2 linked regions of the Ovis aries genome follow. The protein of the gene in region 2 interacts with the protein of the main gene of each other region in a biochemical or structural test. Links are inferred from orthologs where the notes say so. Each region holds a gene or a part of one and is shown on either strand. Other genes may lie near its edges.

The links.
Region 1: the proteins of DRAP1 (region 2) and DR1 form a complex in vitro, tested with the Homo sapiens proteins (2 studies listed by BioGRID). The link is inferred for Ovis aries from reciprocal best matches to the Homo sapiens genes DRAP1 and DR1.

Annotation. Positions count from the first base shown.
Region 1 is NC_056054.1:70,565,840-70,569,647, reverse strand, and holds part of DR1 (protein Dr1), read right to left. Parts: intron 3,574-3,808; coding exon 3,410-3,573; intron 1-3,409. UniProt on the Homo sapiens protein: The association of the DR1/DRAP1 heterodimer with TBP results in a functional repression of both activated and basal transcription of class II genes.
Region 2 is NC_056074.1:40,463,442-40,467,737, reverse strand, and holds DRAP1 (dr1-associated corepressor), read right to left. Parts: upstream 2,753-4,296; 5' UTR 2,621-2,752; coding exon 2,579-2,620; intron 2,336-2,578; coding exon 2,263-2,335; intron 2,155-2,262; coding exon 2,061-2,154; intron 1,789-2,060; coding exon 1,669-1,788; intron 1,549-1,668; coding exon 1,455-1,548; intron 1,247-1,454; coding exon 1,158-1,246; intron 828-1,157; coding exon 722-827; 3' UTR 610-721; downstream 1-609. Other genes in the region: C21H11orf68 (UPF0696 protein C11orf68 homolog), read left to right, coding at 3,024-3,145, 4,118-4,296. UniProt on the Homo sapiens protein: The association of the DR1/DRAP1 heterodimer with TBP results in a functional repression of both activated and basal transcription of class II genes.

The sequences.
Region 1 (3,808 bases), on a different chromosome or scaffold from region 2:
GGCTAGAGTATTAGCACAGTATTGTAGAAAGAGCACAGGTTTTGAAGTCAGAAGATATTTACCCATTTCATTTGTCTAAGTCAATCCTTCCCAGTAAACTAAGCATAATGACATAACCCCGTCTTTTTTTACACTATTATAAGATTAGCAACTAGCACTGTATCTGGTAAATAGTGAAGACTTTAATAATAAATATCTGTAGAACAAATGATCTCATGAAAGTCTCTCCATCTCTGAGTCTGTTTCTTAAAGTGTAAATGGGTACAGTAAAATTTGTTTTGTTCATTGAAAACTCTGCAAAGTATATAAAATGTTTAGCAGAGCATCTTTCCCTTTATCAAATATTTACGCTGGCACCCTGTAGGTGATCTCCCATAGTAGAGACTCAATAAATAATAGCCACTAGCTTTTTAAAAAAACTTTCAATCCTCCATTGGTACCTCCTATTCATATGGATTACAACACTGTTTGCATGTGGTCTTACCTGCCTCAAAGGCTTTTCTACTTAAGTACCTGTTTTCTATGTTGTGAGGATTAAATGATACTGGTAAATCACTTGGCACATGATTAACACATGGTTAGAACTCAATAAACATTGGTAAGCTTTATCTTCCTTATCAGTTTAAATGGTATCTGGTATCTAGTGCTTGATAACTTAAAATTTAAATACTTAAACCAAACTGGTTGTTAATGACTATAAAGAGATCAGTTATGGAACTAATCTGGAAAAGACCTAAAATGGTATTTCCTAGTTCTAATAGTAGTTATAGTAACTTGTATCAATTCTCACCTCTTCTATTCAAACCAAATCTGTCTTCCATTTTCAAGTTGAGAAGCCAGAACTTTGTAGGGAAAAAACAGCCTCACTTCTCCCCACCTCCTTTTTTTTTCCATAATGGTGAATAGATTCTTGAACCTCCTCAAAGTTCAGAATCATAATTTATAAGATCAAGGTTAAAGTAAATGATTTCAAGTCTGTTCCACCCCTAGAATTCTGTGCTTCCCTGACTCATCAATTTAACTCAGTCATTTATTCAACAAATATTTACTGAATACTCCCCCTGTGCTAGTTACCAAGTCAGATGGGTGCTGCTGCTGCTGCTGCTGCTGCTGCTGCTGCTAAGTCACTTCAGTCATGTCCGACTCTGTGCGACCCCATAGACAGCAGCCCACCAGGCTCCCCCGTCCCTGGAATTCTCCAGGCAAGAACACTGCAGTGGGTTGCCATTTCCTTCTCCAATGCATGAAAGTGAAAAGTGGAAGTGAAGTTGCTCAGTCGTGTCCAACCCTCAGCGACCCCATGGACTGCAGCCTTCCAGGCTCCTCCGTCCATGGGATTTTCTAAAGATACAATTAATAATAGGTCCAGCCGTCAGCGAGCTTACAAACTGAGGGCAGGGACAGACAATTATAAAGGACCACAAAGCACTATTCCTATGATGAAATAAGTATCTCTACGGAACTGAAACACTGTATTTTACATCCTCTTTACCAGAGAATCACCTCTGACCCAATGATTTAGGTCTAACTTTCAAGATCTTCCCACTGGAAAGTGAGTTCAATGCTTTATTATACTTATAGACAGTACTTATAGACAGTCTGCTTGAGCAATCTGAGCATTTCAGTAGTACCCAGAAATGGAATGGACTATTTTTTAAGCTGTTCTTGTAAATCTTCAAGTTTGTAATTCCTTGCTCCTGCCTTTGTAGGGTAAACAGGAAGAAGGTACAGAGAAGAGCAAGTGAAAATATGATTAAGATATCTCAGTCCCTGGTGATAAATTTAGCCTTGGTCAGTGATCTGCATTCTTAACAACCAGGTTATTAAGCTCTCAGTCTTACATGGAGTGAATATTCAGTCATTCAAGGATCACTGTAGGGTTTCCCTCGTGGCTCAGTGGTAATTCGCCTGCCAACGCAGGAGACGCGGGTTCGATTCTTGACCCAGAAAGATCCCACATGCCGTAGAACAGTTAAGCCTGTGTATCACAACTACTGAGCCTGTGCTGTAGAGCCCAGGAGCTGCAACTACTGAAGCCTGTGCGCCCTGGAGCTCGAGCTCCATGACAAGAAAATCCACCGCAAGGAGAAGCTCCTGCACTGCAACTAGAGAGTAACCCCTGCTGACTGCAACTACAGAAAAGTTCACATACCAATGAAGACCCAGCACAGCCAAACATAAATAAATAAATACTTTTTTTTTTTAAAGAAAAGAACCGTTGTACACTGTAACTACCTGCTCCCTAACTTCAAGGAACCTGGCAGAGGAGGAGGGAAGGCCAATTTTTCCCTCTCAATTTCTTCTTCTTGCTCTTGCCTGTGGGTATTCTGGACCAGGCCCAGTGCATCCCATGCCTGAGTGGAAAGGACTGATGGAAAGCTTTTTCTTTGCATCAGCATGGGGTATATGTGCATATTGGTTGTTGGGTTATTCACTCCACATGGAAACTGTGTTGCATGCTGCATGGGCTTCTTCATCTCCTAATCCTCATCCCTAGGTATTTTTACCAGATAATGAAGGCTGCCAGCCTTTGTTGCCTCTGCTGTAATACGAAGGCACAGTGAGTCATGGAGACAAAGGGTAAGAGATACTATAGTGGTCATCTTTGGAAAATATGATCTTCCACAGAGGGATGATCCAAAATATATTACAGAGCTTGTTTCTACTGTCACCAAGGGACCTGGAAGGGAATGAAGAAGGCACCCAGGATTCTGACAATGGGCTAAGGCAGGCCAAGAAGATGGCAGAGCAGTAACACTGGAGAAATTCTGAGAGGCTAGTCACAAACTCCACTCAATTCCAGCTCCCGGTGGTCTCCTTTCTTTAAAAACAGAGGGAAATAACAAATAGTTCTTGTTGCTAATCCTCCACAGACTGGACATTAGAACAAGCGAAAAAGGAGAAAAGTTTTCTGCCTTTCTCTGCTCCACTGGCCCTTCAAAGTTTTTAAGATCAGAGTGTTTTAAAGGTGCAGTAAAGACCTAAGTTAACTAAAAAGTAAACGTTAGTCAGATTTTTTTTATATGCTGTTCGTCTAAAAATTTGATAAAATATTTTCTCACCAGTCCATCAGTTTAAATCTTACGAATGTTAAGGTATACTTTTCATGCTTTTAAATGGTCATTCTGCCTGAAAAAAACATCAAAGTAAAGTCTCAGTAGTCATTCGGAGTTGTTCTCCTCAGAAAACAGGCTGCTGCAAATATTTACTTTTATGTAAAGTAAATAGCCGGCCAAATAGAGTCAAACTGGCCAGATCTAACATCAGACTCTATGATCAAACAATCAGCCACAAAAACAAAATTTTGGACATGCATATTGACTTGGGAAATTATTTTAGAAAACAGTATGATTTTGGTGTACAAAAAAGGGTCAGATTCACATGAAATAAGTTAATATGTGTTACTTACTTTTGCAAATAATTCCTGTTGCTGTCTCAATAATTCTTCTTCGGGAATGCCGAGATTTTCCAAACGAGAACTGGCCTTTCTTCTTTTTAATGCTACTGTCTTGCATTCTTGTAAGACTTCTTTTACTTCACTGATATAAGAGCCAAAGCCTAAACTTTCTAGTGCTGGGAAAATGAAAATATGAAAATATCAGAAAGTGATAAAACACCACTTTTTCTTCACCAGTGGAATATTTTGTGAAGCTTGCCAATGGGGTGGTGGGGGTGGCAGAGGGAGGTATTTGGAGGGGAAGACTACTGTCTTCTAATAATTTTACCTATTTTACGGTGCACAATAATCATCCATATGGCTAAGACAAAATATTTTATCAGCTTTCTTAATATTAGATTGCAAATTAGT
Region 2 (4,296 bases):
CTCGAGTCTACTGCTAACCCAGGCCTCCAGGCTGCCCGCAGCACTCCACACCTCCCGCCTGCCTCACCAAGCTGCTTCTCCTGGAAGACACATGTCTGCCTCGTGCGCATAGCTCCAGGGTCTGCTCAGAGTCACTGCCTGCTCACCAGCCAGCCTTCATGGGGCCCCCACCACACCACCTACCTCTGCCCCCACTGCCCCTCCTCATGTCCTTTAAGGCAAGTGGCCCAAGCTCTAGTTTCCCAGACTCATTTCTGTTACCTGTCCCTTTGCAGCAACCCAGAGTGAACAGAATGGTCTACATCAGAGAGCCAAGAAGAAGTCATTCAGAGAAGAGGAACCTACCCACGGACACACAGCACCATGAGACAGGCTGTCCCCCAGCATGACCGGCACCAGCTGGCTCAGACCCTCTGCCGCTCTGACCGGCCTTCCTTCCATTGGCACCCCTGGCCCTGCGCTGGCAGAACTGTGGCCTCCAGCCCCCCCTCTTCAGTCAGCTGCTGCCCAGCCCCCCGGGGCTCTGGGTCCCAGCTCAGCATCAGGAAGGAGGTGGAAGGAGAGAAGGAGGCCACAAACCCTGGACAAAAACCGGGACAGACGTGAGTGTTCCCTTTTGTTATTATTTTATTAATAAATTTAAGAACAGCTCTATGGTCTCTCTTCCCCCCAGAGCAACTAAAACAAACTAAAGGGGGTGTGGCCTGGGGGGCAGAGGGCGCTAGGAGTCATAATCCTCTTCTTCCTCTGCGTCAGGTGCTGAGGGGCCCGGGGGTGCTGGGGGCAGAGGCAGGGTCGAGGTGAAGGGCATGAAGGGTGTCGGGGGGCTGCAGGGGAGAAAGCAGTAAAGAAAGATCAGGCCACTCTCTGGTGCCCATCCCCACCCACTCAGCCCCACCTGGGCATCCCCGGAGCCCACTACCCTCTGTACCAACAGGGAGCAAGCCCAGAGAACGGAAGGACCCAGGGCAGGTCACACAGCCCCACCTAGCAGAAGAGGACCTTCTGAGAGTACAGTCCCCAGCCTTGAAGTCCTTCTTAGTTCTTCCCCTACCATCCCCCCAGTCTGCCATGACCAACAAAACCAAGTGGCTAGGGAGGCCAGGAGGGAGGCCAGAGTCAGTCTTGGGGTCAGTGGGCCCCTTGGTGCCACTTACCTCTGAAAGTGGGCAGGGGGGTGGCTGGCCTGGGGTGGGACCTGTGGTGTCTCCTCTTCTCCGTCACTGTCTGTATCCTCAGACTCATCCTGAGAACAAGGCAGGACTTAGAGACTAGAAGGGCAGGGCCCCATCACTGGAAAGCAGGGACAGGAGGCTGACCTCACTAACCCCAATTTACAAAGAAACCAATACAAAGGTCACAGGTGAGGGACCAGGCCCCCAGCCAGCTCATCCTGGCCTGGTATAGGGCTGCCCTGTCCACCCTATGGGCCAGAAGCCTAGGGCCTCACTCACCTCCTGCTCTGAGTCCGTCCCTGACAGCTTCTTGTCCTTGCCTTTGCTTCCCATCCCACCGTTCTTCCGGCCACTGCTGCCTGGCTTCCGGCCCCTTCGGGAAGGTACAGTACATCTGCCCACAGGTCTCCCCACTCCTTCACCACTCCCCAGCCATCCCCAAGTCCAGGGGCCTTGGCCTTCCCCACCTGGACACTGGTCCCTGGCACCCTACCTGCGGGGACCCTTGTCCCCATCCATGTGGTTGTCTTCTCCATCCCCCTGCATGTCAGGCACAGATGCCACCAGGTCCTTCAAGAAGTCAAACTGCTGCTCCAGCTCAATGCACTGTTTCCTGGAAGAAGTGGGAAGGGGTTGGCACTCGGATGAGGCCCAGACATCTGGGCCCTCAACAAGGGACAGTACGGACTCTGTGGATGTCAGGGGAATGGAACCTGGAAAATTTCCACCCCAACCCTCCCCCTTGGCCAGAACATCCTAATCCTCCTCCTCAAATCCACAGATCTCACAGCAGCCTACCAATTCCTTATCAGGGCACAGCCTCCCCCAGGCGTGTGAACTGGAGGAAGACCCCCAACTGGGCCCTCTAGGATCGGAGCCACTCACAGGTGGGATGTAGTCATGGTCTTGGCGTTTCGGGACTGGGTAACTTGGCATGCTTTCTTCAACAGAGACTCCAAGAAAAGCTCGAGCGCCCGAGCTGAGGAGGGTCAAGGAGAACGCAGGGTGGTGGCCCAGTCCACAAAAAGCGACCCCGGGGCTGCCGGGCTCCCCCACTCCCCCATCCCGACAGCTCCCGACAGGATACAGATGATGACAGGCACGGCCGCCGCCACCTTCCCAATCTCTTCATCCGTCTGCATGATCTTCTTGATTCGTGCCTGGGGAGGGGGCAGACAGCTCGGACCCCGTAGCCTCCGTCCCAGAAAGGGTGCTTAAGCCGGGCAGAGAGAGGGAGCATCCCGGGAGAAAGGGGGCGGGGGGCACCCACGCTGGAAGGGCACGGAAGGGGGCGGGGCGTACGGGGCCCCGAACACGGCGATGCGCCCGCCTCCCTAGTCCGGCCTGGGCCGGAGCTTCCCGAGAGCCCGGCCCGTTCCTCTGGGGCCCGCTCACGTGCTCACCGGCGGGAACCGCGCGTTGTACTTCTTCTTCTTGCTCGGCATCTCGGGGCCTCTCCCGCCGCGCCGGACCCAGCGCCGCCGCCCGCAGCCTCCCGGCACCCGGGCCTGCTCTTAGCCCGTCCGCCGCGGTTCCCCCGGGTCCTGGTGCCGCCGGCTCCGCCCCCAACGCTTCCTACAGGGTCCTAGCGCCGCCGGTCAGGACGCCGCCGGCAGGGCCCGAGCGCCCTCCCCCTTAGAGCCTCCCGGGCTTTGCGCGTCCGTCCGGGGCGGAACCGCCACTCCCGCCCGCCCCCAAGACCTGAAGAGCGAACGTTAGCTCCGCCCCCCAAGGCCCGCCCCTCCTCGCCTTCCCTGATGGCCCCGCCCCCATGGCCCCGCCCCTTCCCGGCCCCGCCCTGTGCTGCGTTTGTCTATAAAGTTCTTGTTGAGGCGCCGGGGTACTAAGATGGCGGCGGCGGCGGCAGCCGTGGCGGGGGCGGGGCGCGGCGGTGGCAGCGGCGCAGATCCCCGGCAGGAACGGAGCCGGGCCCGGGGCTGGCCCGGCGCCGAGCGCAGCGAAGGCCGGAGGTGACGCTGGGGTTGGCGGGAGGGGGCAGGACGGGGGCGCAGCTCGGGCCGTGGGCACTAATGGCGGCGGGCGCGGCGGGGCGGGAGGCAGGCTCTCCTGCAGCCTCTATCCAGCCGGGGTTCGAGTCCAGGCACCGCCCCGTTGGTCTCGGATCGGACACTGCCCGTTTCTCGCCTCAGTGCCCTCGTCTTTAAGTAGGTTGGATAACGCTCGCCCGGAGGCCTGGCCCCATGGGCCCTGCCTCGGTGCGGCGAGGACGTGTGCTTTGCCTCCCTCCATTAAATCCCAGCGCCCGGGAGAGCGGCCAGGCTCTGGCAGGGCCAGGAGGCGTAGCTGGGCCGGCGGTTCCCGCATTTGAATTGCCGTTTCGGCCCTATCACTCACTGAAGGTGTGACCTGCAGTGAGCCCCTTCTCTCTGAGCTTCGGTTTCCTCGTTTGTAGGTCAAGGAGAGCAGTAATAACACTAACTACATTTATATAGCTTTTGTTCCACCTCAGGCGGTTAATTCTGCACAACTGCTTGAGGCAGTAACAAGTTGTTATCCATTGTGGAGACGCGGCAGCCGAGGCCCAGGCCCACACCGTTCAGTTCAGTGCCTGGCACCCCCTGCTGCTGCTGCTGCTGCTGCTGCTGCTGCTGCTAAGTCGCTCCAGTCGTGTCCGACTCTGTGCGACCCCATAGACGTCAGCCCAACAGGCTCCCCCGTCCCTGGGATTCTCCAGGCAAGAACACTGGAGTGGGTTGCCATTTCCTTCTCCAGTGCATGAAAGTGAAAAGTGAAAGTGAAGTCGCTCAGTCGTGTCCGACTCTTAGTGACCCGTGGACTGTAGCCTACCAGGCTCCTCCATCCATGGGATTCTCCAGGCAAGAGTACTGGAGTGGGGTGCCATCGCCTTCTCCCTGGCACCCCCTAGGACTCAGCAAGTTGAGTCTGTCCCGGCCCTGCCCTGATTCGGTTCCCTCCCGCAGGATGGAACCAGGTGAGGAGCTGGAGGAAGAGGACTCTCCAGGTGGTCGTGAAGATGGCTTCACTGCTGAGCACCTGGCTGCAGAGGCCATGGCAGCCGACATGGACCCCTGGCTGGTGTTTGATGCCCGCATGACACCTGCCACAGAGCTGGATGCCTGGTTGGCCAAGTACCCGCCGT